Linked DNA regions of Lytechinus pictus. Each later gene encodes a partner of the first gene's protein in a complex. Links are inferred from orthologs where the notes say so. Each region holds a gene or a part of one and is shown in the gene's direction. Other genes may lie near its edges. The genes, in order: DNA-directed RNA polymerase I subunit RPA12-like, DNA-directed RNA polymerase I subunit RPA49-like, nucleolar transcription factor 1-A-like and RNA polymerase I-specific transcription initiation factor RRN3-like.

Evidence for each region.
Region 2: DNA-directed RNA polymerase I subunit RPA12-like (region 1) and DNA-directed RNA polymerase I subunit RPA49-like share a complex: the UniProt entries of both Homo sapiens proteins name them as parts of the RNA polymerase I (Pol I) complex. The link is inferred for Lytechinus pictus from reciprocal best matches to the Homo sapiens genes POLR1H and POLR1E.
Region 3: DNA-directed RNA polymerase I subunit RPA12-like (region 1) and nucleolar transcription factor 1-A-like share a complex: the UniProt entries of both Homo sapiens proteins name them as parts of the pol I pre-initiation complex. The link is inferred for Lytechinus pictus from reciprocal best matches to the Homo sapiens genes POLR1H and UBTF.
Region 4: DNA-directed RNA polymerase I subunit RPA12-like (region 1) and RNA polymerase I-specific transcription initiation factor RRN3-like share a complex: the UniProt entries of both Homo sapiens proteins name them as parts of the pol I pre-initiation complex. The link is inferred for Lytechinus pictus from reciprocal best matches to the Homo sapiens genes POLR1H and RRN3.

Annotation. Positions count from the first base shown.
Region 1 is NC_087259.1:27,112,580-27,120,314, reverse strand, and holds the start of DNA-directed RNA polymerase I subunit RPA12-like, read left to right. Parts: upstream 1-4,723; 5' UTR 4,724-4,776; coding exon 4,777-4,906; exon of another isoform or gene 4,907-4,986; intron 4,987-7,735. UniProt on the Homo sapiens protein: Core component of RNA polymerase I (Pol I), a DNA-dependent RNA polymerase which synthesizes ribosomal RNA precursors using the four ribonucleoside triphosphates as substrates. Can mediate Pol I proofreading of the nascent RNA transcript.
Region 2 is NC_087245.1:24,111,717-24,119,598, forward strand, and holds the start of DNA-directed RNA polymerase I subunit RPA49-like, read left to right. Parts: upstream 1-4,866; 5' UTR 4,867-5,034; coding exon 5,035-5,086; intron 5,087-7,882. UniProt on the Homo sapiens protein: Component of RNA polymerase I (Pol I), a DNA-dependent RNA polymerase which synthesizes ribosomal RNA precursors using the four ribonucleoside triphosphates as substrates.
Region 3 is NC_087245.1:35,362,834-35,370,626, reverse strand, and holds the start of nucleolar transcription factor 1-A-like, read left to right. Parts: upstream 1-4,773; 5' UTR 4,774-5,131; coding exon 5,132-5,258; intron 5,259-5,781; exon of another isoform or gene 5,782-5,991; intron 5,992-7,793. UniProt on the Homo sapiens protein: Recognizes the ribosomal RNA gene promoter and activates transcription mediated by RNA polymerase I (Pol I) through cooperative interactions with the transcription factor SL1/TIF-IB complex.
Region 4 is NC_087254.1:4,772,487-4,780,346, forward strand, and holds the start of RNA polymerase I-specific transcription initiation factor RRN3-like, read left to right. Parts: upstream 1-4,857; 5' UTR 4,858-5,110; intron 5,111-7,860. UniProt on the Homo sapiens protein: Required for efficient transcription initiation by RNA polymerase I (Pol I). Required for the formation of the competent pre-initiation complex (PIC).

The DNA of each region.
Region 1 (7,735 bases):
TTAAACATCATTAGACACTGGCGGATCCAGGGGGGCATGTGCTTTTGAGAACCAAAATCAAAATTTGTAATGTAAAAATGCCATCAAAAGAGAGGTGTGCCCCTCTCAGTTTGAAATGGAAGACCTTTTTTTATTTATTAAAATTTTTTTTGGGGGCTTGTCAAATGTTTACTTCGGGGTCGAAATATCATTAGTTTTTGGTTGAAAACCTTTTTTTTGTGTGTCAAAATTTTCCTCCAAAAGCTTTGCCCCCAGTGGCGTACCTACGGGGGGGGGGCCTGGGGGGCACGTGCCCCCCCCCCCTGAGATTTGGTGTGCCCCCCCGGTGCCCCCCCCCCAGAAAAAATTGGCAGAGCAAAAAAAAAGAAAGAAAAAAAGGGAGAAGAAAAGAAAAAAAGAAAAAGGAAAAGAAGAAGAAAGACAGAAGAAAAAAAGAAAATAAGAGGAGGAAGACGAGTGAATGAAATAATGTAATTAAAAAAACAAATTTTTTTATGTTACTATACGAAATTTTTGCTGGCGCTTCGCGCCAGAATTGCCTGTTCGATGAGATTCATATCTTGCTCAATAGGCTGATATGGAGCAAGTTTTGAAGTCAATATGCAAAACATATTTTAGCTCGACATCGAGCTTTCATTATTTTTTTTTCATTTACAAATTTAAGTAAAATGTCCGTTTTATGGTCTACATATATCAGCATTTTAAGCTCACGCTGCGTGGTCACATTGTTCGATTTGCGAAGTTCATATTGTCTACGTGTATTCCATAATGTTCCATCAAACAAATGTATTCAGAATGCCCAGATTCTAGGTCTACAACACGCGCGATAGCCTGCATGTTCTTTATTTAAAATGTACATGTACTTGAATTATCCAGTATCACATCAGAATATCAATAATTTTATTGTCTGCTCACGCTTCACGATCGCATTATTAATGATACCCAATTGACTATATCCTATTTATGATTTACAAAATATGAATAGAATGTCCCGCTTTTAGGTCTAAAATCTCAATTTTCTTCCTCGATCTCGCGCTTCGCGCTCGCATCAATTGTTTAGTTACATACCTATCCCATTTATTAATACAAAAAGTGCTTAGAATGGCCATTTTTTAGGTCGGAATGTAAAAAAAAAAATTGCTCGCGCTTCGCACTCGCATTATCGAAATATATACCGTCTTCGTGGGTAACTGTAAGCAGTCCTTAACAGTTCCATTTTCGATAATGCTAGAACAGTTGATAAAAATTTCTGTTCGCGCTTGGCGTTCGCAGTAGCCATCTAGTTACATACGAATCTTGTTCAGGATCACACATAACATTGCCCAGAAAATTAAATTTAAAAAAAAAGAAAGTTTTAAAAAAATCGCTCGCGCTTCGCGCTCGCACTTTTTATCAGGCTTATGAGATTATTTCATGTTTATGTTGTTTTATAAGAATAAAACTAAGAAGTGACTGATATAGGTGAAGATAATTTCGGGCCCCGTCCCCTATTGGCGAAAGTCGGATCCGCCCTTGTGACACATACACACACACACACCGGAAAAATGGTCGGTGCCCCCCCCCCCCTGAAAAAGCAAGGACCCCCAAGTGCCCCCCGGGAAAAAAATCCTAGCTACGCCACTGTTTGCCCCCCCCCCCCTTTGGAAAATCCTGGATCCGCCCCTGAACATAGGGACATATATCTCTCTCTCTCGATCTGTTTTGATCCTCCGCTCTTCGGAGATTAGCGATAAATCGCGGTCAATAGCATAGATGGATGAAATCTAGCTCATTAGTTAGCATGAAGAGTACAGGCTATGGGCATGAATTTTATATATTATAATGAAGAGTCATTTTCAGGATGAGGAAGGGAAGGGCCATAAATATATACGGCAAGAGAATGGCGCAAGTAATTTCAAAGGGATCCTGGGTGTTGAGAGTAGGCCTAATTCTTGGAGAGGATTGAAGAGCATCTCGTAAGAGTTTGCTCACTTTGGCCAGAAGATCAGTGCGTATAGATGGAGGGTTGACGGACAAGCAGCAATAACCTGAGTCACTGTATCCTCATCATGGCAGAGAGGACATTTCGAATCAGTTTCTTTCTTGAGTTCGGGTGAGCCGAGTTCGGGTGAGATATGTTGATCAATGTCACAAGTTGTGCTCTGATCATGGAGCTATCTGTAATAGCTCCATGCTCTGATGGTTAAAGGTCAAGTCCACCCCAGAAAAATGATGATTTGAATAAATAGACATAAATCAAATTAGCAACGCGGAAAATTTTATCAAAATCGGATGTAAAATAGGAAAGTTATGACAATTTAAAGTTTCGCTATTTTTCACAAATAGTGATATGCACAACATGCAAATGAGTCAGTCGATGATGTCCCTCACTGTTTCTTTTGTTTTATATTGGGGGTGCTGAGTATTGTCACAGCACCCCCATAATAGATAATCCTCCGTGGCCAGGTCCATGAGTGACAATTAGGACCAACTTGACTGAACCATATATTAAACAATACTAATTCCACATGTTCAGGGCCCGGTTCAGGGAGGAATTAATTGTTGTTTCACTTGACAATCAGGAGAAAATAAGAATATTTCATATCTCATATAATAAAATACAAAAGAAATAGTGAGTGGATGACATCATCAGTCTCCTAATTTGCATATCGACCATGCAGGATGTGCATATAACTGTTTTGTTAAAATGAGCGAAACTTTAAAATGTCATAACTTTCTTTCTGATTTTACATCCAATTTTGATGAAATTTTCAGTGTTATGCTTGTTTAATTTTTCTTTTTTTATTCAAATCAAATTTTTGTTGGGGTGGACTTGTCCTGTAAAGGTCAAGTCCACCCCAGGAAAATGCTGACTTGAATAAATAGAGAAAAGTCAAATAGTGCTAAAAAATTCATCAACATCAGATATGAAATAAGGGAAAGTTATGACATTTTAAAGTTTCGCTTTTTTTCACAAAACGGTGATATGCACAACTAGGTGAGTCAGTTGATGATGTCCATCACTAACTATTTTTATTTTGTTTTTTATTGTTTGAATTATAGGCCTACAATATTTCATTTTTTATAGATTTAACAATAAGGACCAATTTGACTGAACCGTATCAAACAATGCTAATTCCATATGTTTAGAGTGGAATTAATCATTGTATCACTTGTTAATGAGGAGAAAATTAGAATATTTCATATTTCATATAATGAAATACAAAAGAAAAAGTGAGTGGATGACATCATAGTGTCCTCATTTGCATACCAGCCAGGATGTGCATAGGCCTATAACTGTTTTGTGAAATTAAGCGAAACCTTAAAATGTCATAACTTTCTTATTTTACATCCGATTTTGATGAAATTTTCAGAGTTATGCTTGTTGGATTTTTCTCTTTTTATCCAAATCAACGTTTTGTTGGGGTGGACTTGTCCTTTAATGATTGTCTGATAATAGTTGACAGGCGCGGATCCAGGAGGGGGCCGAGCCGGCCCCGGCCCCCCTATTTTTTGACAACCTGCAGAAAAAATGTACTCCAACTTGATAGAAACTATGAAAAACAGAAAGAAAAGTAAGAAAGAGGTATTATACCCATGATGTGTAATTCACAGCATCGTAACAGCCGGCCCGACCCCGAAAGGAAACAAGAAAAAGGTGAGGGGAAGAATTGGAAAATAGACTTTATATAAAAAAATCGCTGGCGCTTCGCGCTCGCATTGCCTGTGTAATGAATCCCATTCAAGAGGATTAAATGGCACTTAATATATCCAGTTCTGAAATCAATTTGCACACGATATTTTAGCTCGCACATCAAGCTTTCATTATTTTGTTTGATTTACACAAATTGTTAATTAATACCAAAATTTTTAGCTCGCTATGCGCGCTTGCATAGTTTGATTTGTGAGATACTTATCCTCTTTGGAAATTCTTACCAAAATTTGTAAAAATACTCCTGTATCATGTCAGTATATCAAAAAATTAAGCTCGTGCTTCGCGCACGCATTTAATTGTTTTAGACACACAGCTTTAATTGTTCTTTATTTTAATAAAAATGCGCTTAGACAGTCCAGTTCTCAGGTCGGAATATCAAAATTTTTTAGCTCGCGCTTCACACTCTCATTATTTAATTGGTGATACTTGTATCCTCTTCATTAATCACTAAAAACTATCGAGTCCCTTTTCACGTTACTATAATAAAATTTCGGCTCGCGCTTCGCGCTCGCATTGTTTAGTTGGATAATATTGCATTGTTAAATTGAACATATCTTTGTTCATGATTACAAAAACTGCTCAGAATCTTCAGGTCTAAGGACATAAGATATCAAAGAATTTGAGCTCGCGCTTCGCACTCGCATTATATATTAATACCACATGAGATATCTTGTTTATAACAATAAAAACTAACATATACTTAAAACTTCAGTCTTTAGTTCGGACTACCCACCAATATTTTTCGGTCCCCCCCCCCCCCCCCCTATTGGCGAAAGCTGGATCCGCCCCTGGTTGATGGAGGATCCCAAGATGGGGTAGAGATTCTTAAGGTTGATAGTTTTCCCATGCCAGAATTTGTGATAGATGCACCATCTAGTGTACGTAGTTCGTTTGCTCAGCAGAAAGAGAGATTGAGTTCTTCACCTTCCGTTTCCATGAGTTGTAGGGAAAGTTTCTCCTAGATCTAATTAAATATTAGTACAAATCTCTTTAACCTTACGACCACGCCCACATTAAACGTGAAAATTCGTATCCGATGTATATTTTCATTACCACGCGGTACGGTATCAATTGGATGAAGGATGGATACTGGAACAACTTTTTCTGTTGCCAAGGAAATCTGTCCGAAATGTGGCACAGTTTTACCTTTTCCAAAGCGTGGCACATTAGACGTCTTTTGTAAAATTTGTGACTTTAAAACTAATGCTACAGGTAAGTTGAAGACGGCAAACGTACGTTGACCCGCTGCTCTGTCTGAGTCGAGTCTGAAGACGTATCTGCTGGCTGCCTGCGTCTGCCGGGCAGCCGGGGCACTCCGCCCAGGGAGCTCCGGCCCGCGCCCGCTTAGCGGGCTGGAGCTCTCTGGGTTAGGCTTGTTATAGCGACCCACTAGCTCTAGAGTCTAGCGAAGCGATCAGCGCGGTGAAGCTTGTTCTTGTTTTGGAAACTACCCACAACGAACAACAACATTCATGGGCCCAGCTACCTCGAGCGAAGTTCGTGCAGTCTCCACTTCACTACCGCTACACTAGTACAATCCACCTACCCGAACTTCGAGACGGTGAACCAGTTCGGATATACTGAGTCACAAAGGTGGGGATGGTAATCATGTTTATCGTAAAAATTAAAGAAAAAAAAAAAAAAATTTTATAACAAGAAAGATGAATAACTTAATATCTTACTCTACACCCGTATTTCACTCCGTTTCCATCCTCCGGTTATCCTCAAAATTGGTGATTTTGGGTCAGTATCTATTCCCTTACACGTATTATTCACGGCCGATTTAAAAACATCGCATGCGATCGCGATCGGCCGCAGGTCAAGGCCGATCGCATGCGATGTTTTTAAATCGGCCGTGAATAATACGTGTAAGGGAATAGATACTGACCCAAAATCACCAATTTTGAGGATAACCGGAGGATGGAAACGGAGTGAAATACGGGTGTAGAGAGACCGAAGTTTTAACTCAATTTGTACAGGGACTGTGTGTGTATTTGAGTTTTGTCAGACGTGTATCAATCAGATATGATTATTTACGTCTGGGACCGACCTTTCGTCACCATCTGAAATACGTGACACAGGTCCGAACCTCTGCATCAATTTGTAACTTCCCCACAGCTTGGATTACAGGGGCACGCCACAACGCCCACTCAAATGTTTATGTGTTAAGTTTGGATAAACAAGGGAAGTGGGAGTTGCGCGACAGCCGTAGTAAGTCACTGTTTTTTCCCCTTTAAAGTTTATTTTTTCCTGTTTTGATGCATTTCAGGCCAAAACCGAATGATAATCTTTATTTTGGTCCAGTTCTTTTTATATACAGTACTTTTATGAAATACAATAATCGATGAGCCTCATCGGGGGGATTTTGCATTATTAACCCCCTAATGGTGGCTGCACGATTGCGAGGAAATCACGAGGAGAAATAAATAAAATAAAAATGTTAAAAAACTCCTCGAAACAGACGGCTGCCAGCTGCGGTCTACCATCACATTTAAGAGCGGCATCTACGTCAACAAAAAGTGCCATATTTTAAAAATCTAGATCTAGCAATTACACCTACAGTGTTGGACTGGATCTTATGCTTTGTGGTAATATGTTCCATTCTTTAATCAAGCTATCACAAATGAATTCAAAGCAGTTCTTGCAAACGGTTGATGGATAAGATTTCTCTGACGTGTATTATACGTATGAATCCTGGAGTTAACAACAAAAGCATCTGATAAAAATGACAAATTTTGAGTCGATTGTGATTTGTACATGGATATCAAACAGTTCAAGGATATTAAATCATAAAGAGGCAGAATGTTGAGCTGCAGAAATAAAGGAATACAGGGACTTCTGTAATTCAAATATGTAATGAGTCTGATAACTTTCTTTTGAAGGATCAGTATAGTTTGTTTAAATGATTCCTATTTCCCCACGCATCATTACAATAAATTAAGTAAGGCACAATGATGGAGTTACTAAAGTTTGTTTGGGTAAAAAGAAACGCAACATATATCACGGCAACACTCTGAAATCTTGGTACAAACATTGCTGACCTGATTTTTCCATGATAAATGATCATCTCCAACTCCTAGAAACCGCACATCTTGACTATGATTAATCTAATCATTCTGATGACCTATTGATAATGAATCTATATATCAGGCATTCTTCTACCCCTTGTTCTAAATACAACATATTGTGTTTTACTAGCGTTTAATAAAAGCTTTTTACAGCAAAACCATTTAAATATATTTTGAACTTCAATATCTGTCGACAATATAAGATTATGCATACCTTTGTGATAGGAGAGTAAGCAAGTGTCATCAGCAAAAAGTGAATATGTAAACAACTATGATGAATTTGTAATGTCATTGATATAAATCAAGAACAATAAGGGACCCAAGAATCAACCTCGGGGTACCCCATAATTCACCTTCCTAGATTGTGATTTAACTCCATTGATCATTACTTAACTGTAATCTATTCTTTAAGTAATTTTCAAACCAATTTAAGGCTACCCCATGAATGCCATAATGCTCAAGCTTGTTTAATATTATCATGATCCATAGTGTCCAATGCCTTCGATAAATCTAAAAACACACCCATACAATTCTTTGGAAAGCCAATTTGTTGTGGGATCATGTTAGATCCATCTATTGACACAATTTGTTTTTCAGTGACCTAGGCTAAGACGTGCCAATTCCATTAGGTGATAGCCATAATAACTTGAAGCCCTATTTATTTTCCAAGTAGGACTAGGCCTAATGTTAGTCTATAATGAATAAACATCAGATGTATTTGCTTAGACCGAAAAATCAGTCTATTTCTTTCAGGGATATGCTCTGCGGCATCCCCTCCGTCTGTGTAGGAGGAGGACAAAAAAAAAATCATTTTCTTTTAAAGAACTCAGAAAAAACAGCGGATATATCAGTCCAGTATTTGCTCAACTCTGCACACCTCCGCTCTGCTCTGCTAAGTGAGCTCATGTGTGTAATGTAAATTCTTTTAAGATGTCCGATAATTTTTAGGAGAGTGCCTTATTTAGAAAGGTGT
Region 2 (7,882 bases), on another chromosome or scaffold:
TTATGACAAACTTTTGTAAATACTATAATTATCTTTTTTTCATATTAGAAGGATGCACAAGAAAAATATTTCATAATGTATACATCATATTGGTAATAAATATCATTATATGAGAAGTAAGATTTTCTAAATAGAGTCAATGGCGACAATAGTCAAATATGACTAATCGCCACTCAAACCAACATAAGAAGAAGAAGTTCCCAGGGCCCTGGGGGCCATGCACCCTTGGGTCCCGGCGTGGGCCCAGCATCCGAGAGTGTGTAGCAACAACAACAAAAAGAACTCTCTTCAATATTAAGGTAATTTGTGTGTGTCTTTACCACTGGCGTAAATCCGTGTTGATCGGTGGGGGGATGACTGAAATATTTTGGCTTTTTTTGCAATCATGTTTTTAGATATGCAAGGAATTGTCATTGATATGTCCACAGTGGCGTACCGTAGGTCACGGCATTGGGGAGGGGGGCACCAGCAAAATGTTTGAATCACTGAGCTGAGTGAGCGCACTCAGTTGCCAGTTATACTGACCTAATAGAGACATTTTCTGGACAATGTCATTAAACGGATATGTATCTCACTGATCAAATAATGCGAGCGCGAAGCGAGAGCTGAATTTTCTTTATATTCACACCTAAAAAGAGACATTATAATCAAATTTGTGTAATCATGATAGGTACCTGTCTCGCTAAACAATACGAGCGCGAAGCGCGAGCTGAATTTTTCGTATATTTTGACCCCAAACAGCGAGATTTTGAGGAATATATTTTAGGAATCCATTAAGAGTATGCATATCTCACCATAGTCATCTAATGCGAGTGCCAAGCGCTTGCTGGTTTATAAAAATTACATCTGAACTCATGAAACACTTTTTGTAGTCATTGCAATCATGATTATCATACGCATCTTCACTAATCAAATATTGCGAGCGCGAAGCGCGAGCTGAAAATTTATATAATTCAGACCTGAAGTGGGGCATTCTAAGGTTTCTTTGTAGGAATTAACTAGGACCATACGTATTTCAATATCCAAATGATGCGAGCGCGAAGCGCGAGCTGAAAATTTTTGATATTCAGATCAGAAGAAGGGACATTTTAAGGACTGATTTTAAGAATTCATGAAGAGCAGACATATCACACCAATCCACTAATGCGAACGTAATCACGGACAGGAAATGTTTCATATATACGAAGACCTTAACATGGGGAAATCACTTTTTGAGTCATGAAAAAGAAGCAAATGTCACTACATAAAACAATGATAACTCAAGTGCTAGGAAATATATTTGGTTTATATTGACTTGAAAACGGGATGTTTCAGTACAACAGGATTATATATCTCGTTAACAGACAATGCAAGCACCAGGAACAATGAATAAGTAGGCCCTGGGCAAATTATGTTTCATGAAGTTATGATAAAAATGTTTCTTATGTAATGTAACATAACATAATTATAATATAACATTATAATGAATAATATTTTCTTCTTTCTCACTATACGCTTCTCTTACTTTCTCCCTCTTTTCTCATTTTCCCCATTTTTTTTGGTCAGCCAATTGGGGGGGGGGCACGTGCCCCCCATGCCCCCCCCCCCCGTAGTTACGCCATATGGCAAAAACCCCTCCAATATTATTATCTTTTTTAACCCATGATGGTTTAATGGTTTTATTAGAGAATACATTAAAAAAGAATTGACATTGTATCTTAATCCCTTCCCAAAGACCCCAACATTGACGAATTTAAGAAACGGGAGTTCCTCTTCAATGTTATAATAAGGACATAAGTATTTCGTTTGGAAATGGTGAACTGGCTCTTTATTTGCACTTTATGATTCAATAATATTGTTTTATTTGTTAAGCGGTATTTCAGGAAGAATTTTCACCAATAAAACAATTATCTCTTGTGATTTTTTTTTCATTTCTTTCGTGAAAAGTGGGGGGATGTTTGTACAGGCCATCCCCCCTCCTCGAAAAGTGGGGGGGATATATCCCCCCACCCCCCCCCCCCCGGGATTTACGCCAGTGGTCTTTACAATAATATTTAGGCCCTATATCTCTACCAACATGACCAATTACGTCAACAGCCATGAATAGACAAAGTCTTTCATGATTACAAAATTGATTATATTTAAACAAACATTCCCATGATCGTTGCATCGAACATGTCGGAAGGTTCTCTTTACCACGATGAACCAATTGTGATGGCGGCTCAAGTGCTTCCAAGGTCACTGAAGGTATAAAATGTCGTTACTTTTTTCTTCCACATTTTCTTCTGGGGGCGGGAGGTAATAAACTACAACAAAATTGTATTTTCTTCTTAAATGATTTTAAGCAAAGTGAACAATTGTTTGGACAATGGAAGAATTTGGAAATGTCCTACGATCTTATATAGGAACGGGGTTGTGTTCCTATCGGTGTTTTGATATCAAGGTGATAATTTTGCAGATAAGCAAAATTAATGTGTCACCTGATTGGAAATATAAATATTATAGAACAATATTAGCTTATTACTAGAGACTGTGTTTATTTTCTCTCATGAGGTCATGATCATTGATCTAGTCTATATCTTTCGATGTTGATTTCAATTTTCTATAGACCTATGAGGTGTTCGACTCAGTAGCATGGGAACGAGTTTTTTTTCAAGAGGGGTGCTCGTTTGGAAAAAAAATAATTGGAAAAAGGGGGGTTTTCGCTCAAAAAACTTTAAAAGGGGTGATTTTGGTCAGTCAAAGTTTGAACAAGCAAAATGGCAACAACAACAACAACAAAACGCAGAAAAATGAAGGTGATTTAGGTCAATACAGTTTAGCATACCGATTATATTTCCAGGGGGTGCTGCCCAGTGGATGCAAAGCATACGCAGCACCACTAAAAAAAATCACGCACGCTTCCCAGTGCCATATGGTTCAACTATATAATACACATTTTAGAGACTGATCTGCATTAAAAATCGCATTATATTATGCCCATTGATACTTTGCCATCATTTATGGACTCTGTTATCGATATCGTCTTGCTTTTTTCCCCGTATATGTAATATGGTCATTATACCCGAATGGAAAGAAACAATTAAGGGCGTATGCTGGTTTGAGCATCATGGGAGGTGGAACTTTAGTGGTATGGGGGATGCACATCTTGGGGAGGCGGAACTATAAGGTTTTGAAAATCAGCTGTTTAAAGCCGAAGAAAGGGTGCAAATTTCGTTTTGTTTGCCAGTGTCGGAACTCTTCTGCCTCAGCGAGAGGGTGCACCCCACTAGCGTACCTACGGGGGGGGGGCAGTCTGCCCCCCTGACGAGCCACAACCCATGCAAAGGACGTACCCCTGCCCCCCTGACGAGCTTGAAAGACCTTTTTTTGCCCCCCCCCCCCCCTGACGAGCTTGAAGACCTTTATTGCCCCCCTGACGAGCTTGAAGACCTTTTTTTTTTTTTTTTTTTTTTTTGCTTGTCAAATTTTTGGGCGGACGGTTTTGCCCCCCCCCCTGTGGAAAATCCTAGGTACGCCACTGGTGCACCCCTCCCCCAGCCTACTATACGCTCGGCTTGACTCTCACAGTGGAAGAAGGTGGAAGCATTATGATGATCAAAGCGACAAGGATGAGGAAAGAGACGGGGCGATGGCTTGTAACTATTGATTGCTTGATGGATGGATTAAATTCGCCAAGTCCCCTAAACCATGCGATTTTGTGAGATTTTTTTTGGTCCGGGGTATATAGGGGGGGAGTCGGGTTCCTAATGGAATCGGAGGGTAATCGCCCCTTCGATTCTTCAAATGATTAATTGAGGAAGGGGGAAAACTGAAGAAAAAACAAAAGGAGGAAAAATGAACAAAGCATTTATTATGCGCCATCTAAACTATTACGAGACGCAGGAAGGATAAGGAAGAAAACGGAATGATAAGTGCTTTTGTGTAGATATCTTTGACGCCTACTTATTTTTTATTGAGATAATGTCATTTTAGACGACCCTAGAATCCCTTCCCGAAATCTCCTAGCAAAATATCCTGGCGCGGCCCATGATATATGGCCAAATAAGGCTCAGTTTTACATCATATAATTTTGAAAAGTATATTGCACCCTTGTCTAAACTTAAAGTCAATTGGGAACTGAAAGAGATCCCCATTCGGAAATATCTTTGTACCCAATATACCTAGCGATTTCTTGGGCCGAACCCATGAGGAGAGGGCGGCCGGGGGTCACCATGGCCCTGGGAAGCGGGATGAAGCACCCCCAATATTTTCCTTGGGGTGCCACTTTATTATTATCTATAGGTGCAGCACCCCATATATGCTGGAAGGTGTGTAAAAATAATAAAAAATTGTAACCAAAATTTTCCTTTGTTTTTTAGTAAAACCTACTTGTTTATTTTTCATTTTATTTTATTTTTTATTTTTTGCTTTTCAAATTTCTTTGGGTCAAAATGACCTCGTTTTGTAATGAAAACCTTGTTGTTTTTTCTTTTCAAATAAGCATCAGCACCCCTAGTTAAAAAAATCATTGCCATTTTGACAAGAGTTATGAAAAACTTTTGTAAATACTATAATGATTTTTTTTTTCATATTAGAAGGATGCACAAGAAAAATATTTCATAATGTATACATCATATTGGTAATAAATATCATTATATGAGAAGTAAGATTTTCTAAATAAAAAATAAGTCGATGGCGACAATAGTCTAATGTGACTTATCGCCACTCAAACCAACATAAGATGAAGTTCCCAGGGCCCTGGGGGCCATCCTTGGGCCCCGGCGTGGGCCCAGCATCCGAGAGTGTGTAGCAACAACAACATAAAAATTCCCACCATCTGGCATCAAGTGGGGGTGTAGTTGGAGGGTTATTTTCTTTGTTACATTATCTACATTGGTCCCCTAGGAAATGATACCAACCATCACTCAATTCGTCATCTCAGCTATCGAGGCTCCCTGTATAGAAATTTTAATATTTCATTTTCCAAATCGGAGACACCATACTGCTTCAAGATTTTGGTGTTGCGCAATCGCCGAAGTACCTGGGTTGAATTAATTTTATTCGAAGACGAAAATGATGGCCACATGTTCATTTATTTCAAGTGATCAGGAGAAACCAACTCTAGGTTCGTTATTTTTCATCTCATTAAACAAATTATACAAACAATAAGATGCGGTCATGTAGAGCACGTAGATCTAGGGTTAATAGAATATTTACAGACTTTCTATTACTCTGAAGTGAAGAATCAAGCTGATCTGGACTGAAGAAGTCGCGGAGTCTTTGCTTTATATTAGACCCATGTATTGATTATGCTGTAGTGTAGGGCCTACTGCATCGCGGTTCCGTGGCGTGGGGCCCAGGTCCACTGCACTCTAAGCACCAAGGCTATTAATTCCTGTGTTAAAAAAGTGAGTGCACGCGAATTAAATGTTGGACTTAAATTACTAGATCTTACCATGGAGCTCCATGACGAAATCTGTTCTTAAATTAGACTCTAGATATTACTAAATTGAAAAAATGTACTAGGACTAGGAGTGAGTAGGACCCACTCCTAGTAGTACCACTACCAATGAGGTCCAACATTACATGTATGGACCTCATAGGCGACATCAGTAGTATTTTGTGTCAGAAATCTTTGTGAAGATGATTATTTTTGTATTTTATCAAAACTACAAGCTATCGTACTGTCTAATCATTACATTTCGATCTCACTAATTGAATACATTGTTAGCAATAAAAAAAATTGAAAGAAATGAAGGGGAACTTATATTTTCACGGCTTTTTCCTGATTTTCTGGGCAACTGCTCTTCTCTTCTGACTCGCGATCGAAGCTGATATGAAGATCACGTGATTCGCGTTCTCGTCAGCTGATCGGTTGGTTATTCTTTTCGTCAGACGTTAATAATATATATTTTATAATGCTAGCATTCATCGCTAATTTAGGTGAAAGAGATTGAAGTTAAACAGCGCCAGGTCGGAATCATAATTATTTTGGAAGAGTGTATTTATACACTCGATCTCATACCTGACGTAGACGGCGCTATTCAACAAATGCCCAATCTTCAATATAAAAAATAAAACAGAAAGAACGCCTTGAACACAGGCCAAAATGCCTAACGATTTCTTCGCGGCATTAACAACTATCGTAAAGGGCGCTCCATTTATTAATAAAGATGGACGTATAGCTGTCTATGGCGACAAAATTTGCCGCAAATATTTACGAAGAATTGTGAGAAATGGTCTGAAAATGCAACAAAAGAACCGGTGAGTACCGATTAAACATTATCAATTTATTTAATAGAACATATTTAATTACTACAATGTAACAATTTCTAGATAATATTGCTTAGTTCTAAGCTAGGGAGGCCCAAACGCGCGTGAGCGGAGTCCCACTTTATTAGCACGGGTAAGTATTGGGGTGTCGCCTAGAGTGCTAGGACCTATAGTACTCGCGCCTGGTCTTTTCTTGGGGTATTGAATTGAAGCCTTTTTGTCCAGAACTTGCTCAACTTTTGCGGCAAATTTTGTCACCATAGCCTTGTGCACATTCTCGTTTAATACTGGTTGTCACGTGACACGGCAATGTCGTTAGGCTGTTTGGCCTGTACTCAAGGCGTTCTATCCGTTATGATTTTATATTATAAAGTCAAAGAGGGGCCTAAGCTTTCGATCCTAGCAGAATCTTCGTCGGAGGCAAAATGACAAACATATAAAGTGGAACAACCATAATATAGACCACAAACAAGCTACAGCAACACTAGAAACAAGGAGACAAAAGGGGCATTAGTGAGTAGAGAAGACCAATCAGGTTAGTGAAGGGGATGAAAAAAAAGGAGTAGGCAGACACAAAGGGAAGTTAGTGTAAGTAAGGCCAAGAGGGATTAAGATAATGAGGCAGGCAACATCAAACAGGATCTGGAACAAAACAGTGATAGAGGGATGAATAACTAGAGAATTAGTGAGAGGTGGGTCAAACAGGTTACAAAGAAAGGCTTAATAAACTGGTGCATAAGAGTGGGGGGAAAAAAGAAGAAAAAGAATGGGGAACAACTGATAATGTGCAAAAGACATATAATTATATATGATAAAGCATTAAACAAACTAAGAGAAGAAGGTAAGTGTAAATATGTATCTATAAGTGATATGTATATAAATATATCCAAAAAAGAAATGTATATGAAAAAATATATAAATATATACACATATGGTGTAACTGATATGGTAATCCGCTAGGTGTGACGGGAAAAAACATAAGACTATATAGTAGGAAAGAAAAAAAAATCTGTATATGTGAAAAAGAGGAAGCAAATTGCCTAAAAAGGTAAAAGCAAATATAGAAGAGAGGGGGTGTATTATGAAGAAACCATAGTATACATGTAAATAAGCAAATGTGGTAAATCTAAAAGAGGTGAGTGGAGAAAAAACAAATATATATATATATATATAATAATTATTATATCGCCTGAATAAGGAAGGAAAAATTGGAGCTGAGCTTGTATGAGATATGGGAGGAAAGTAGAGTAAGAAACTATAATGTAACTATTCAAAAGAGCTGAGGGGAAAAATTATATGTATATATAAATTGAAAGTGGATAGGAAAGAAAAATCAGTCGTTCCCCTCTTGGATGTTCAGGCCATGAGGTTGGGTGGTGCGAAGTCGTCTCATCCAGAGCTTCTCCCTGCTAGTACGGACTGAGTCAGGACGGGTACCTAAAGATTCGATGCCCTGTAGCATCATGTCAGTGATGGAGTGGTTGGGGAGGTTAAAATGGCGGCCAACTGGAGTGTCCAGCTTTGCTGTGTTGACGGTGGATCTGTGCCCGTAGAATCGTTTCTTGAGTGTGGTCTTGGTTTTATATTGAATGAAGCTAATTCCATCAGGTATAGGCCCCTATCAAGTCAAAATCGATACAGGGATCGA
Region 3 (7,793 bases), on another chromosome or scaffold:
AAAATTTCCAATTTGTACATTTTACAATTAATTTTTTTTTAAGCCTTTGTACACATTTAGAGTATCAAGGCTTACAAAATGTAAAAATTTAATGTTTGCCCAAAAATCATTATGGGAAAGGTGGATTTCCGAGGGAAATCTATCTTTGTTTACACAGTTGTACGAGCAACCTTATAGGAGGCTTGTCTAGGCTCCGTGATGAAAATACAATGTAAAAATGATAAAATTATCTTCATGGAGTCCTCTAGGCTAGCCAGTGACATGGGCCCATGCCCATCAATTTTAATTCATGCTTTTGCATAACCAAATGGCGTGAATTTGGAACTGGAAGTATAATTTCAGATTGACCTCCAAAATGAAACGTGCACAATTAGTCTGAACTAAAATAACATTTCCTGAATTTTTTCTTAAATCTGGAGGCCGAAGTATTTTTTTATCTTTGAAATTAAATTGGTTCTCGTTGTTTTTTACCTCTGACTTACCAGTATGTGTGGGGGTACCGTAGAAGTAGAATTAAAGGGATGGTCCAGGCTGGAAACATATCTCAATAAATAGAGTAAAATTCACAGAGCAAAATGCTGAAAACTTGATCAAAATTTGATAACTAATTAAGGTTTTGAATTTTAAAGATTTGCATTATTCCGGTGAAATAGTTCTAGGCATGTCTTTATCATGTTTATGAATATTCATTAGGTTGGCTGATGATGTCATATCCCAATTGCCCTTTTGTATTTTATTATATGAGATTAGGTTTATTAAGATATTTTTAACCAAGAACTATTGACAATTGGATTGACAACTGATAAGGTGCATTAGTTATTGACGCAACTTATTTCATTACAATGGAGACGCATCATTTACACATGTATGAAAAAATCAAACATTTATGATTTCATCTAGTAACATAAAAAAAAGGAAAGTGGAGATGTGACATCAGCCCACCTAATGAATATTCATGACGAAGTGCATACAACTGTTTTCACAAAATATTGATAAACTTTAAAATTCAATAACTTCTTGTTATCCTATTTTGATGAAATTTTCATCATTTTGCTTTTTAAACTTGTTCTGGGAACTGCTTTTTGAAAGTTGTCAGCATTAACAAGTTGTCTTTTTCCGACAGTTACCATAGTAACAGTCAGAGGCCAGTGCTTCTCAGCCAATCAAAAGCAATGATTTCACTGAAATAGTCGGCACTGACAATCATGAAATACCCATCAGATGTTAGCAGATAATGTGCAACATAGACTCCTAGATACATATATGCAAACATACATAGTCTAAGTCTTTATTATTAAAATAAATGTATAGGTATAAGGTCGAGGCAATTTCATCTCTGCGATGTCAATTTCAGAAGTATTCCCAAGACCATGTGAACTTACTATACATGTTGTAATAAAAATGATGATGTGCTGTCTATCATTTATAATTGAATCATTGAAATATGGAACTTAGAGAAGTTTCACTATCCCATGTATTTTCTTTATGTGCAGATATAATTTTACACCACTGAAATTTTGTATTACGGTATTCACTGTACTTATTATTTTTCATTCCATTGTTTTTTTTTCTAATCTTCAGATACATCGCATCTACCAGCAAAGATCAAGTGCCACTACAGGAAAGGAAGGTACCTGTTTCACGTTTCCTCTTCAGAGCCAGTGAGGGCCCCAAGATCTCAATAAATAATAATTAAAAAAAGACTCCTTTATCATTCCTTTAAAAATAGTACATATTATTTATTGAAGGTAAATGCTTAGATGCATTATATTCAAATTTTGTCTCCAAGCTAGCATGTAAAAATTGGATTGACTACATATTTACTGTGTAAGTTAATGATCTTTGTTGACACATAATACAAGAATTATACACAGCATGTTACAGTTTGTAACATAATTTTCTTTCATTAAATTCCTAGTTTAAATACCATATATATGTTTTTTGTGACTTTTGTCATTCTCTGATGATTTTTGGTACAGATTTCAAGAGACTGAGGGATTGATTTACCAGAGCAAGTTTACAGTCCAATCCTGTTATATTGTGCATGTGGAAATTAACAAGGTTTCAATACAATGCTACAAATTTACCTTGATTCATTTCATCAGTCCTATGTGCAAGAATAATTATTTCACTTGTCCATGCACATTGTTATAACAGGAGTGGACATTCAATGTAAAGATAATTGAAGATAATTTATAATTGAAATAACCGCCTGAGAGGGGGGGGGGGGGTGTTGGTACCAATATTCTAATGTGTGTGTGCGCAAGGAAAACGAAGGAGTGATTATATGAGAAGAGTAAAAGATCGGGAATGTACATATCCACATGATTCATTTTTGTTTATGCTATACATTGCAGGGTGTTTCTAACTGGTACCACTTGACAATTTATGTTTCCAACTGGTCCTAACTGGTGCTTCCAACTTGTTCTAACTGGCACCAGTTGACAACTGGTGTTTCCAACTGGTTTTAACTGGCACCAGTTGACAACTCATGTTTCCAACTGGTCCTAACTGGCACCAGTTGACAATTGGTGTTTCCAACTGGTTTTAACTGGCACCAGTTGACACCTCATGTTTCTAACTGGCACCAGTTGACAATTTGTGTTTCCAACTGGTTTTAACTGGCACCAGTTGACAACTCATGTTTCCAACTGGTCCTAACTGGCACCAGTTTACAATTGGTGTTTCCAACTGGTTTTAACTGGCACCAGTTGACAACTCATGTTTCCAACTGGTCCTAACTGGTACCAGTTAGGACCAGTTGTCAACTGGTACCAGTTGCTAACTGGTACCAGTTAGGACCAGTTGCCAACTGGTATTTCCAACTGGTACCAGTTACAATTTGTCAACTGGATTCCAGTTGATTCCAGTATTCCAATTTCCATATTGAATCCAGTTCGCTAACTGGAATCAACTGGTACCAGTACCAGTTGGATGAACTGGTCCTTAACTGGTTTTTTGACCTGGGCATGCAAAAAAATACATCAAAGCAAAATCTACTAGCATCCTGCCAAGTTTCATACCTGTAATACAAAAAACATGGGAATAACACAAGTTTGAAAACATGTCATGTTTTTCATGGTGCCATTCTCACAACAAAGTAAAATAAAAGAATGACCTTTGACCTTTGACCTTTGGTATATCATGTCCAATTGCCGAAACATAATTGGGCATAACTAACAAATCATTGGGTCAATTTTCAAAATTCAAAGTTTTCTGAGAGCTGGAAGAGTTCCTCTTTCCAATGGTATCAATTGCAAAGCTAATCACAACTTCTAAAACTTCTATAGGGTGCTTTTCGAGACACCATGGACATGGTCGCGCAGGGTATCCACTTGTCAATGGAAGGGGTATCCACTTGTCAATGGAAGTGGTCCCCCGGTCCCCTGGGGCCATCACATTGGGTTATCGCATCGGGTCAGGCAATCAAGTATACCCAACCATTCAATAAAGGCCCCCTTAAATTCCTGAAATGTCGGGTCAGTTTAAACCCAAGTACATATAAATACCCAACCATTCAAAAAGTTTTCAGTTTTCACAAAACATCGGGTAAATTGGACCGAACCTTTCGGAAAGTTAGGGGGCCCTTTTCTCGAATGGGGCAGTTTCCTCGCATGGTCATGTTTCGCGATTGCCCGACCCGACGCGATAACCCAGTGTGATGGCACAAGCCATTCAGATGTAGCATAAAAAATGTTATTGTTAACATATTCTTGAAAAAAGTTAGAGCATACCTGATAGATTCAGTTGATCAATTTCAAGAGAATTGACAGAGTCATAAAGGAGATCATCAGAATCCTCATCCTGCTTCAACAAAGAGAAGTTAACCTCCTTCATCTCACTTCCAGTTCCAGAGTTCTTCATGTCCTTGTCCAGCAAAACTCCAGAAGTTTTTAGATCACACTTCACAATTTAGATATCTTATCTTATTTATTATCCAGGCAGTTATCGTGAAATGTCTTGCCTTCTTCTGCTTAAGCCCTTACTTAGCCTCGGCTTAGGCCGGCGATCATCAGTCAGTCCGACGTCCAGGGCCAGGCGGTCCGCCTGGCAAGGCCAAGCCGTGCCCATTCCCAGGAAAGCTAAGATGGGTCCCTCCTCCCTTTCGCCACTACAACAAGTCCAAGGGCGCTCCCTGCTCGCTCGCGCTCCTGTCCAAGGGTCAGGGGATACCGTACAGTGCTCGAACTGTTAGTGTATTGTTGGTTCTGCACTGTCACTGCAGCTGCATGCCTGTATACGTACAGTACTGAAGTAGGCACCAGCTGGGAGTGGGACAGCTCGACATCGACAGTGCAGGCTAGCTGCATGATGCGATGCGCTCCTCACAAGCGCAGCTCAACTGAATGGAGGTTTTTTTTATGTAAGGGAATTAGCATGTTTTATTTCAGAACTGAAAAAAGTTAAACATGTACCAGACCGTCCTACGTAGGATTTAGAAATAACTAACGTTAAGCATATAGTAAGTTAGATCTCTACGGTAAATTCTGACAACGTTTTCCATTTAGGGTGCGTAGCAGACGACCCTGCTGCTCGTATGACATGACGTTGGTTGACCTCTTATCGCACTCCCTCGATTTTTGGCGCGGGCAGTTGAGGCGGGCAGATATCACGAGTCTCATGGTTTGCCCGCCTGGCCTAGCCTGACGCCTGCCTGATGGTTAGGCGGTGGTGCGGCTGCTTATCAACGACAAACGATGTAAATGCGCGATCTTGTGTACGTCACATTCGCTTGAATGATTTATGATAATTTATGTAAATCTTTGAGATTCTATTGGTCGTTGCGTGTTTACTGATCGATTTCGTAAACAAGAGTGTCATCCTTGGTCACTCCGATTGAAACATTAGTTGACGGGCTGCGTTGTGCATGCCGTGTTTTAAATATAAATCAAAACAATATTCGTGAACGAGGTTGTAGATAGCGGCCTAATTAATATAGTCCACGTGAGTAAAGCTAGCCGAGGGGATCAAAATTAAATATTGAACTCTGCCAGCCGAAGATCTTTGTGTGTGAAATCAGTGATGTGGAATTAATTAAGTCAATAACTACCCAAAGTCATAAACACTCATTAGATTTGTTATTATATAATTTTTTCAAGGGTACTATTTTTTGTTCTCGGTGCGTACCGTGATGATCCTGGCGCCTATGCAGCCGATAGACACCGCGCTGGATAGCGGGCGCGGAGGAAGCGGGTCGGGACCCGAGAGCGTTGGGGCGAATCAAGAAGTTCTAGAGACAGCCATCATGGACGCTGAAAGTAAGTGGACATTTTAATTCCGTATTTTTGCGTGTGTTTGTGAAATATATTTACTTCATTATTACCAGATTGTAGTTCATATTTGTGAGGTCATTTTCGCTACATTCCCTCTTAGAAATATTTCGTCATTTTTATGTTATATGCGATTTTATTAGCCGATTCAGCAATCAAGATGGCCGGGTAAGTCTCGGGTATGTTAGCATAGGAATCCGCTCATCAGCTTTTGTGCGTCGAAGTTCCGGTATGGAAATAGACCGTTTTCTGTTAATTTTATCAGAAATTACAATTTGTTTATATTCTAATCATATCTATGGTAGTTATGTATCCATCAGTAATTGTTGCTGTTTCTTAATATTTTGAGCATGTTGAGATTAAGACTTGCAAATATTGATGTTCTTCCATGAATTTGTTAATGAGCCAGCAAGTTTGATTGACGCACGCCGCGTGTGTAGCGGCGCGGACGTCGCCCCACGCTGGCGAGTCGTGAAACCCGTGACTTGATCAAATTCCCGGGCATCCCTGTGTAACGGGCTGAGCTGAAAAGCCCGCAGTGCTGCGGCATGGTCGCCGCATTATCGAACGAGCTTGTTTGTCAGCCATGTCGCTGCCGTTCTTATTTTCAATGCCAGGGAGTAGCAGCCCCCGGGCGGGCGGGGCTTACTCTCGTGCGATGGCGCGGCTATGACGTGAACAGAATATCCTTGTGAATGTCGTGTGGTATTTTCTCATACCGGTACGTGACGTTGTTCGCGAATGTTCTCATTTTCAGAATGTTTACTTTCAGCTTTGCCTTTGACTCTCGAATACTATCGCTAGTTAAGATTTTAGGTATTGTTGGAGCGATTTTGTAGTGCTCTATTCGTTAGGTTTTGACATTGTTTGTTGGAAGTGACCAGTAAGAAATATTTTGTGGTCAGTAGACCCTGTACTGCCCATTCATTCATCGGCTCCTCCTCCGTCGTCGGGCGGTGCGTTGTGGTACCGTTCTGGCAGTCAACCCCCCGTTTTGTGGGCAAAACCATTATTTATTCTTTGAGCAGGGTCTAACTGAGGTAGAAACTACAATCAACTTCAATTCTATTGCTTTGCTTCAATTCAAACTTCAAATGCATCACTGGAGTGATCATTAGATCTACTTGAATTTTGGCCTCCCCCTTTTTTAAATACAGATCATCATCATGATATATAAACTTGATGTTTTTTTTTTGGGGGGGGGTTAAATTATGTCATAATAATTGAAATAAAGATCTAGGCTTAGTCTAGAATAAAATAATTCATTCAACATGTCCAATTTACTTTGTCTTTTGTGGTTTTGTTTTAGAAATTTATTTTTAAAGATGTTGCTTTTAAGCTAAAGGTAAATGTAGACTGTATTGTTATTTTGGGGGATTTTTTTTCATTGTAAAATCATAACGATGTTTGAAAAATAATGTTCTAATCTCCTGCCTAATCTAAGCTTCATTTTTTGTCTCACCTGAACAAAGTTTGGCAGAGACCTAGTAATATCACTTTTCCTTTACTTTTTTATGCCCCCGCAGACGAAGTCTGGAGGGGCATTAAGCATTGCCCCCGTCCGTCCGTCCCCCACTTGGTTTCTGCGCAATAACTCAAAAAGTATTTAATGGATTTTTAAAAAATTTGGTGTGTAGGTAGATGACACCAAAATACAGCCAGGCTAAGTTTGAATTCTGAGTCCGCAGGTCAAAGGTCACAGCTCATTAAATATGCAAGTTTGTTTCCACCTTATGAAGTATTCAACAGATTTTTAAAAAATTAGGGTGTGTAGGTAGATGACACCAAAATACAGGCTATGTTCGAATCAATTTATTGTCATTTCTATCAATTGCATTTGACATTTTATCAATGTTAATTCAATTTATGTTTTATCTCTACCGTTGTATAATTATACTATATCTGTTGATTTTTTGCTTGTAAATTGAACATTTTCAGCCTGTGAGCTGCCTGTTTGATTTTTTTTCTTTCAATAAACCATACCAATTCAATTCAATAGGTCACAGCTCATTATATATGCGAGTTGGTTTCCTCATGATAACTTTGGAAATATTCACCAGATATTAAAAATGTTACGTGTCTGGGTAGATGACACCAAAAGATAGGTCACATCAAATGACCTGACTGTCATATCTTCTGTGAGAGATTATTATGGAAAGGGTGAGTCTTCAGGTCAAAGGTCTAAATTTGTTCATTATTTTTTTCCAATTTTTTTTTTGCACAATATTAAGTTCAATCATATTGAATGAATTTCTGATCATGTTAAGCAGGGGCATCTGTGTCCTCTGGACACATCAAATTTCTAGTTTTGTTCTGAAATTGATTTTTAAAGATGTTACTACAAATAAAATGTTTTAAGCTAAAGGTAGATGTAGACTGTATTGTTATTTTAGGGGATTTTTTTATCATTTTAAAATCATAACAATGTTTGAAAAATAATGTTCTAATCTCCCGCCTAATCTAAGCTTCATACCTAGTAATATAACTTTTCCTGAACTTTTTTTTATATGCCCGTCCTAGAGG
Region 4 (7,860 bases), on another chromosome or scaffold:
TCGAAAACAAGGTTCAAAATCACAATATAGTCAACTGAATTATGGGTTAAAATAGGTACTAGAGACAAGAGAGACGGCTCATTTTCATTTTAATTTATGAAACACCGAAATCTTCGCGCTTCGCAAGGGAGGGGGAAACTCCCCCTCCCTGCACCCACCCCCTAGGGAGCGCGCTTCGCGCGCTTTATAGTGTTGACACGCTTCGCGTGCATTTACCGCCCCCTCCAAAATGAAATCCTGGCTACGCGGTTGTCTGACGAAGTCTTATTAAAGACGAAAGCTAAAGCTAAAATGGTATCCTGCGTCATCTTTTTAGTTGGCCTCATCACAATATATATATATATATGTATGTGTGTGTGAGGGTGTGTGTGTGACTGTATATAAAAGAAATATGGTAAATTGTGTCTCCCCCCACTTTTGAGGAGAGATTTCAGCACCCCCACTGAAAAAAAATCGTTCCCAGGGCCTAGCTGTGTGCCCCCCCCCCAAAAAAAAAAAAAAAAAACTTTTATCCAATGACCGACCAAATCAAACGGGCATCCAGTTCCAGTTCGAATTTATCATAAAGTCTGGCATATATTTTATTATAGCTTGGAAATATATTTTTATGATGGTAAAATACATTGCATGGGGACACATACAATTTTGAAAATAAATAAAAGGAACGGTATATCATCCAGGATGGTGCCATCATTATGTAAGGTTGGACAAAACATGAAAATTCTAAAATGCTCACTCAATTAGCTTCTTAATTACAGTCTTGCTAGAATTGATGTATTTCAAGGACTTTCTGTATTTTGAGTATAATGTAAAATAATCATGAGAAAATGTGTAAATTTGTAGGTTCATCAACACCCTGTGCGGTACGTGGCTTGGGAGGGGCCACTTCCATTGACGAGTGGATACCATGCGCGACCACGGGGTTTTGAAAAGCACCCTATACACGTATTTTCCATATTCTCAAAATGCACCCCTTAACAAGTATTGGCGTGTGAAACCTTACCCTTAACAAGTATTAGAAACAAATACTATTGGCAATTATTCCCAGAATTGAGCCCCTAAACAAGTACGGCGATGTATTTTCCATATTCTGAAAGTGGAAACAAAACGATATACTCTTGGCAAGTATTCCCTGAAATGAACCCCTAAACAAGTACAGCGATATTTTATTGTTATGTCACTGGTCCGTCGGTCGTCGGTTTTACCTTTATATACACACCATTATTTTGGTTTAGTCGGCCCCACCTTCCACACCTCGCGCAAATCGGACTCTAAACACGTAGTGTTGGGGCAAAAAGGACATCCTTTATCAAACATTTTTATTTTGTTTTATCATCCCCGCATATTTGACCCTAAACACGTATATATTTCCGCGCGAAATAGATACCCTTTTATTAATATTTTTGTGTTTTTGACACCCTTATCACGTTACGTAAGTAACGTGCCCTATCTTGAAAAAGACATCCTTTTTACGTGTTTTTTTTTGGTCGCGCATGGTATCCACTCGTCAATATAAGTGCCCCCCCCCCCCCGGGGGGGGGGGGGAAGGTGCATGGAATTAGGATCGAAAGCCGACCAGAAGTTTTCAGAGATAGGCCCCTATAGACTTCACATTATTAAAAAGGTTTTACTATATAAATTTTGATGTCCATGGTAAGATTGTATTCTCATCTCTAATTTCCAACAGCGTAGTAAATCGTTCACGCATGGCAGCTAGATAACGAACAATAAATATTGCATGTATTGAGACATATCAGAAACGAGTTGCGCACTAGAAACTCACGTGTGAATCTGAATCCACTCTCATTTGAGGTATCAATGAGAGAAGAATAGAAAGTTCAAGTTCAAGTTTATTTCAAATTCTACAAAAAATACATGTCATCAATGAAGTAACAGAGAGTGTGGGCCCGGAGTGTGGGTAAATAGGGAATCAGCATTAAGTGAAAATTGTAATTGATTATTGTACTAATAATACCAATTATGAGGGAAATTAGTTTTCTGTAAGTATATAGACAAAAAATAAAACTTTCTTTACATATGACCATGTTATTTGGAAGAGTATTGGGAACATATAAGAAGATATATATATGTATATATATATATACATATATATATATATATATATATAATGTGATGATAAGTTTACTCCTACCAATCGCTGTTGAGTTGTGAATATCAAACATACCGAGATAAGGCGAGGCCAACTCAACAGATGACGCAGGACACCATTTTTTGCTTTAGCTTTCGTCTTTTAATTGAGACTTCGTCAGAAGCGTCTGTAATTACAGACTATTGTGATAGTTAAGTATGACCCATAGAGATATATACTAATCTCTATGGTATGACCGTATCCTATCTCGTTCTTTCCTAAAGAACGAGATAGGATACGTTCTGTAATTACGCTAGAACTGATGACGAAGTCTCAATTAAAAGACGAAAGCTAAAGCAAATAATGGTGTCCTGCGTCATCTGTTGAGTTGGCCTCGCCTCATCTCGTTATATATATATATATATATGAAATTGGTGCCGGGAATTGGTGAAAGCCTGACAGTAGCCAGTGGCCACGTTGTATAAGGGGACACCCCCCCCCCCCCCCGGCCCCGCGCGCTATATAGCGCCAGGCCAGCCGACAGGTGTCATAGGCGAATTGGCCCGGGTACCGGCGGTCCAAAACGGCTAGCTTATTAGTACCGCCAGTACAAAACGGCTAGTCGATCGGGCCCGCCTGATCCAAATGACTGGTTCAAATTTTGGCCGAAACGATAGGAGAGCCGCCGTTTGGTTCCACATTTATCAAATCTTTCTAAGGTAGATATTTACTTTGATAAATGTTTCAAAATATATATTTGTGTAATTTTTAATGTAATTTGAATATTATCTTAGAAATAATTATTTCTATATTCTGTTTAAAGCCAAAAAAGGTAATAAATATATTCTATAAATATATGTTTTGATCAAATGTTTCAATATACATATTGGTGTAATTTTTAATGTAATTTTAATATTATCACAGAACCGATTATTTCTATAATTCTGTTTAAAATTAAAAATGTTGGTCTAGATAAGAGGTATTTCAGCTTCGTACGATACTAATTTAGTCTACACTTTTTTGCGCATGCGACATGCGTATATTGCAGCGCTGGACAGTTGACACACGGTACCGTTCCACTTCTCTTTTTTGGAGTAGGAGCTAGTTTTTAAACAATATTTTCCTTTTTTATTATTAACATGGACCGTGATTTTTTTATCTAATGCGAGGACATCTCGCACTACCTTAAGCATGGGGGCTATCTGTTTGCACACAATACCCCTTTTGACATATATTATTCTCTGAAAATTGTGTCAAAATCTATATATCACAAATTATATTTTTATCATAATATGTCAACATTTTGCTCGCTCGCAGCATAGAAAAATTCGTACACCAAGTCGACGCGTCGGTGCCATTATACTTCAATGATCAATGAAAAAAAATGAAAATACATAACTTGTAGCTTAGTATCTCTTATTGCACCAAGCTTTGATGATCGTATAAGCTACGACCAGTTTTGAGTCGTCATAAATAAAATACACCTGTGTGTGTGTGTTTTCTTATGTCAGCACCAATTAAAGCCCCCCCCCCCCTCATTTACACAGGTCAATTTGATGCCCCCTAAGTAATTTAATGTCAATTTGTCCCCCCCCCCCCCAAACATGAATGCGCCCGAGGCCAAACCCCGGGCCAAACATCAAATTGCCGCACAAAGGTCGAACATAATTATGATCAATTCGGCACCTCCTTACAGGTCACACTTCAAATGGTATCCCGGCCACGCTCTTTTATAACCTTTTTAAATCCCCCTTGTCCCCTTGTCCCCCTTCTTTTTTCCTTTTCTCCCCTTTCGGTTTAATCCCCTCTTTCCTTTTCCCCCCTTTTCTCTTTGTTACTTTCTCCCAATTAATTTTGCGATCTGTTCTTCGAATCTCGCTTTTTTTCTCTCCCTTTTATTTTCATCTATCTCCTCCTTTTTGGCACCTCCTTTTTGGACTACCCGGGTTTGTCTCAATGAGGTGTCACTAAGAGTTCCCTGTGTTTTGTGCAGCCTTGATGGACTATTAAGCTTTTAGTTATTTTATTTATATATTTTTTTCTATACTTACTTTGGGGGTTTTGGTGAGCACGCAGCAGTGTTTACCCCCACCCACCCTCAGCACACCAGTCGCCATCCCGTCCTATTTCTTGCCCCGGTTTCTTACTTGAGTAATGAAGACCTAGATCTATACAAAATCGAAGTTCACACCCCAAATATAACAGGCGTGCAAAGGGAGCACTCAGTGTGAATATGGCTTCGTGGCCCGGCCCACACAGCTGTAATCAATCGGAAGTGTGCTAAAATAATGCATAAATTATATATTTCCAAAACATATATACATCTCTATGTCCCAAAATAAGATTCTCAAATCGGCAACTGTAATGTTCTGTCGATATGGTTAATTTGGAGGAGCCAGTTGGTTGAAAAGTGTCAACGTTGAATGAGCGGCGTCTAGGAACAAATCGCCTGGTCGGAACAAATCGGCTATGACGATCGCATCACACAACAATGTTGGAGGTGCCGTGGCCGAGTGGTCTAAGGCGCGTGGCTATACATGGAAAGTCCGGGGTTCGATCCCCGGCCGCGGCACCTATGCCTGTGAGCAAGGTATTTAATCTACAATGCTCTTTTATCCTGCCTTCAAATAAATGGAAATGCTATATGCATTATTGGTAACTCGGTGTGCACTTGTTTAAAAAAAAAATATTCGGAACTAATCGGCGGATAAAAGAGCCACCGATTAGTTCCTCCGGCCCTGAACGGCTGCCCGGCCCAATTCTTCTATGACACCGGCGCGGCCGACGTATACGCGTTATTAGTATACATCTCTATGCCTAGCCTATGGACGTGACTTCGATAGGTCTTTAACTCATGCGCAACATTCCGCGACGAAGTTACAACACGTGTTGAAAGTGAACTAAATGAGGGCTTGTTTTATGACTTTACCATCGACATTGATTCAGTCAGCATTGAATGAGAGTATTCTTTGGATTTCAAGCCGATTGGAAAGTCTCAATAACGCAGTTGATGTAGTTTAGGTGAGTACCGTATGGATGGAACCTGGCATCAAATTGATCAATTCAATCGACAGTACAGTCCCATCTGTGCACTTTTGTGTTGTCATGGTCAGATGTAGACAGCTGGCAGCCGTCTGTTTTGAGCACTCTAGCCTCTAGGCGACACCCCGTGCTAATAAACTGGGACTCCACTCACGCGCGTTTGGGCCTCCCTAGCTTAGAACTAAGCACTAATATCACCTTAAAAACTAAATCTACAAGGTATCTATAATCTATTTACAACTTTAATAATGTTTAATCGGTACTCACCGGTTCTTTTGTTGCATTTTCAGACCATTTCTCACAATTCTTCGTAAATATTTGCGGCAAATTTTGTCGCCATAGACAGCTTAGCATCCATCTTTATTGATAAATGGAGCGCCCTTTACGATAGTTGTTAATGCCGCGGAGAAATCGTTAGGCATTTTGACCTGTGTTCAAGGCGTTCTTTCTGTTTTATTTTTTATATTGAAGATTGTGCATTTGTTGAATAGCGCCGTCTACGTCAGGTATGAGATCGAGTGTATAAATACACTCTTCCAAAATAATTATGATTCCGACCTGGCGCTGTTTAACTTCAATCTCTTTCACCTAAATTAGCGATGAATGCTAGCATTATAAAATATATATTATTAACGTCTGACGAAAAGAATAACCAACCGATCAGCTGACGAGAACGCGAATCACGTGATCTTCATATCAGCTTCGATCGCGAGTCAGAAGAGAAGAGCAGCTGCCCAGAAAATCAGGAAAAAGCCGTGAAAATGTAAGTTCCCCTTCATTTCTTTCATTTTTTGTTGTTGCTAACGATGCATTTACACTATAAAATTATAATTTAAATAAGAGAAAGGAATATAGCTTGTACTTGTGATATAATGTATAAATATCCTGTTCTCAGAGATTTCTAACCAAAAATACTACTGATGTCGCCTATGAGGTCCATACATGTAATGTTGGACCTCATTGGTACTAGGAGTGGTTTTGAGGAGTTTTTAAACATTTTTTTATTTTTTATTTCTCCTCGTATTTGGTGAGTGAAGCCAACGGAGTTCAGCTGAACAACCAACATAACAGAGACCGAAGCTTTTGGTCTAGGTCAGATCAGGGACTCGGTTTTATAATTATAAGGGGAGCAATAAAAAGCTCTCCTAGAACTTTTAAGGAGAGCGGTAGAGGAGCACTTCAAAAAGCTCTTCTTCAACATACAAGGGGAGCTTTTTGCCCAATTAACAAAATGGATGGAGGAAATGTATGTACTATAAAATTACAATCAACAACCAAAGGAAGTATTTATAATTGTTTTACAATGTATTGTAATTAGATTGTGTGTTGTAAAACCTGTTTTAGTTAGGTTTTGACTTTGGCTAAAAGTTAAGTCACTGACAATTTTTTTTTTTTTTCGGGGGCTCCATTTTAATTTTTTTGTCAAATTTCGGGGGCTCTTTTTAAATGCTACTTTTTTGTATTTTGAGGAATACCTGTTCATTTATTAAGGAATTATTACTTTTTGTTTAATATTGTATGATTTTTAAAGTTATTTATCATGTTTACAATCTTGGATGTGGGTGTGTGTGGATGGGTGGGTGTGTGTGTGTGTGTGTGACTGTGAGTTGGACTTGGATATAAATGAATTCAATATCTAATTTCTACTCCATTTATTCCAGTACAATACCCTAGTCAGCCATGTACATGTAATAAAGGCCCACTTACCCTAACTTTTCCTGAAGTTCTTTGAAAACGCAGATCTCCATGAAAATTTAATTTCTCTATGGGGGAGTCTAAATTTGGTGAGAATGTATTCATTAAGAACTTAAATATACATGACAATGAAGAAATCATCAAACTTTATTGGCAGTTTTGAATAATATTCCTGAAATGTAAACTCTGTCTGAAACAGAAAATCACCATCATTGAGGCCTTTACTGAGCGAATTGTCCCCCAGAGCTCTGGCAGAGAGACAGAGCTCCAACTGGCTAGCTAGTAAAAGCGCCAATGCGTGAGCCTGCCGCCGTCCTTGTAAAAAAGATGGAGCTTTGTTTGATGATTTATTGTCTGATATAATACCTCATCCCCTAGAAAAAGAAAACAAATGACTTTTTAGTTATAATTGATAAATTAGATAACTTATTTTGGAAGTTAATAAGCCGTTTTGAAAAGCAAAGCCGAATGACAACTCACCAATGCTAGGTTACTAGACTCTGGGATTTATTTCCTGTGTAATTAGAATTATTTTATCACAGAATTGTGATATCTGTAGGGGAAACATGTGCATTCGAAATGACACACGGTGGTAGTCATAATGGACCCCTATACATGCAACTCTTTCCCGACCGTTGCGTTGATTTTTTTTTCCATACCTGGTACCATGTGTATGGAAATACGTGGTACAGAAAAAATAACGCAACTTCGGAATTTGAAACTGCGCTACTCTCTACTTTTAAGGCTTATTCGTGATTTTGAGTGTGGATTTTGGATGGTTTTTAAATGGTAAGCGGAGCTCGAGCATATGGCACTAGTGGGCCGTTGAGTTGTTATCACTCGGCAATAATTTTGGGGGCGACATTCAGATTTTATGTCGCCCCCGAAAGCATGATTTTGGGTGATTTCGAGGGCGACTTTAGGCATTTTCGCGCAGGTCAGCTATCGCGAGGCGCGCTATTAATCGCGCTACCAAAAATGGATTAAGGCGCGCATGTAGCGCGCGATCGCTCTCGCGCGCCTTAAAATCGAGT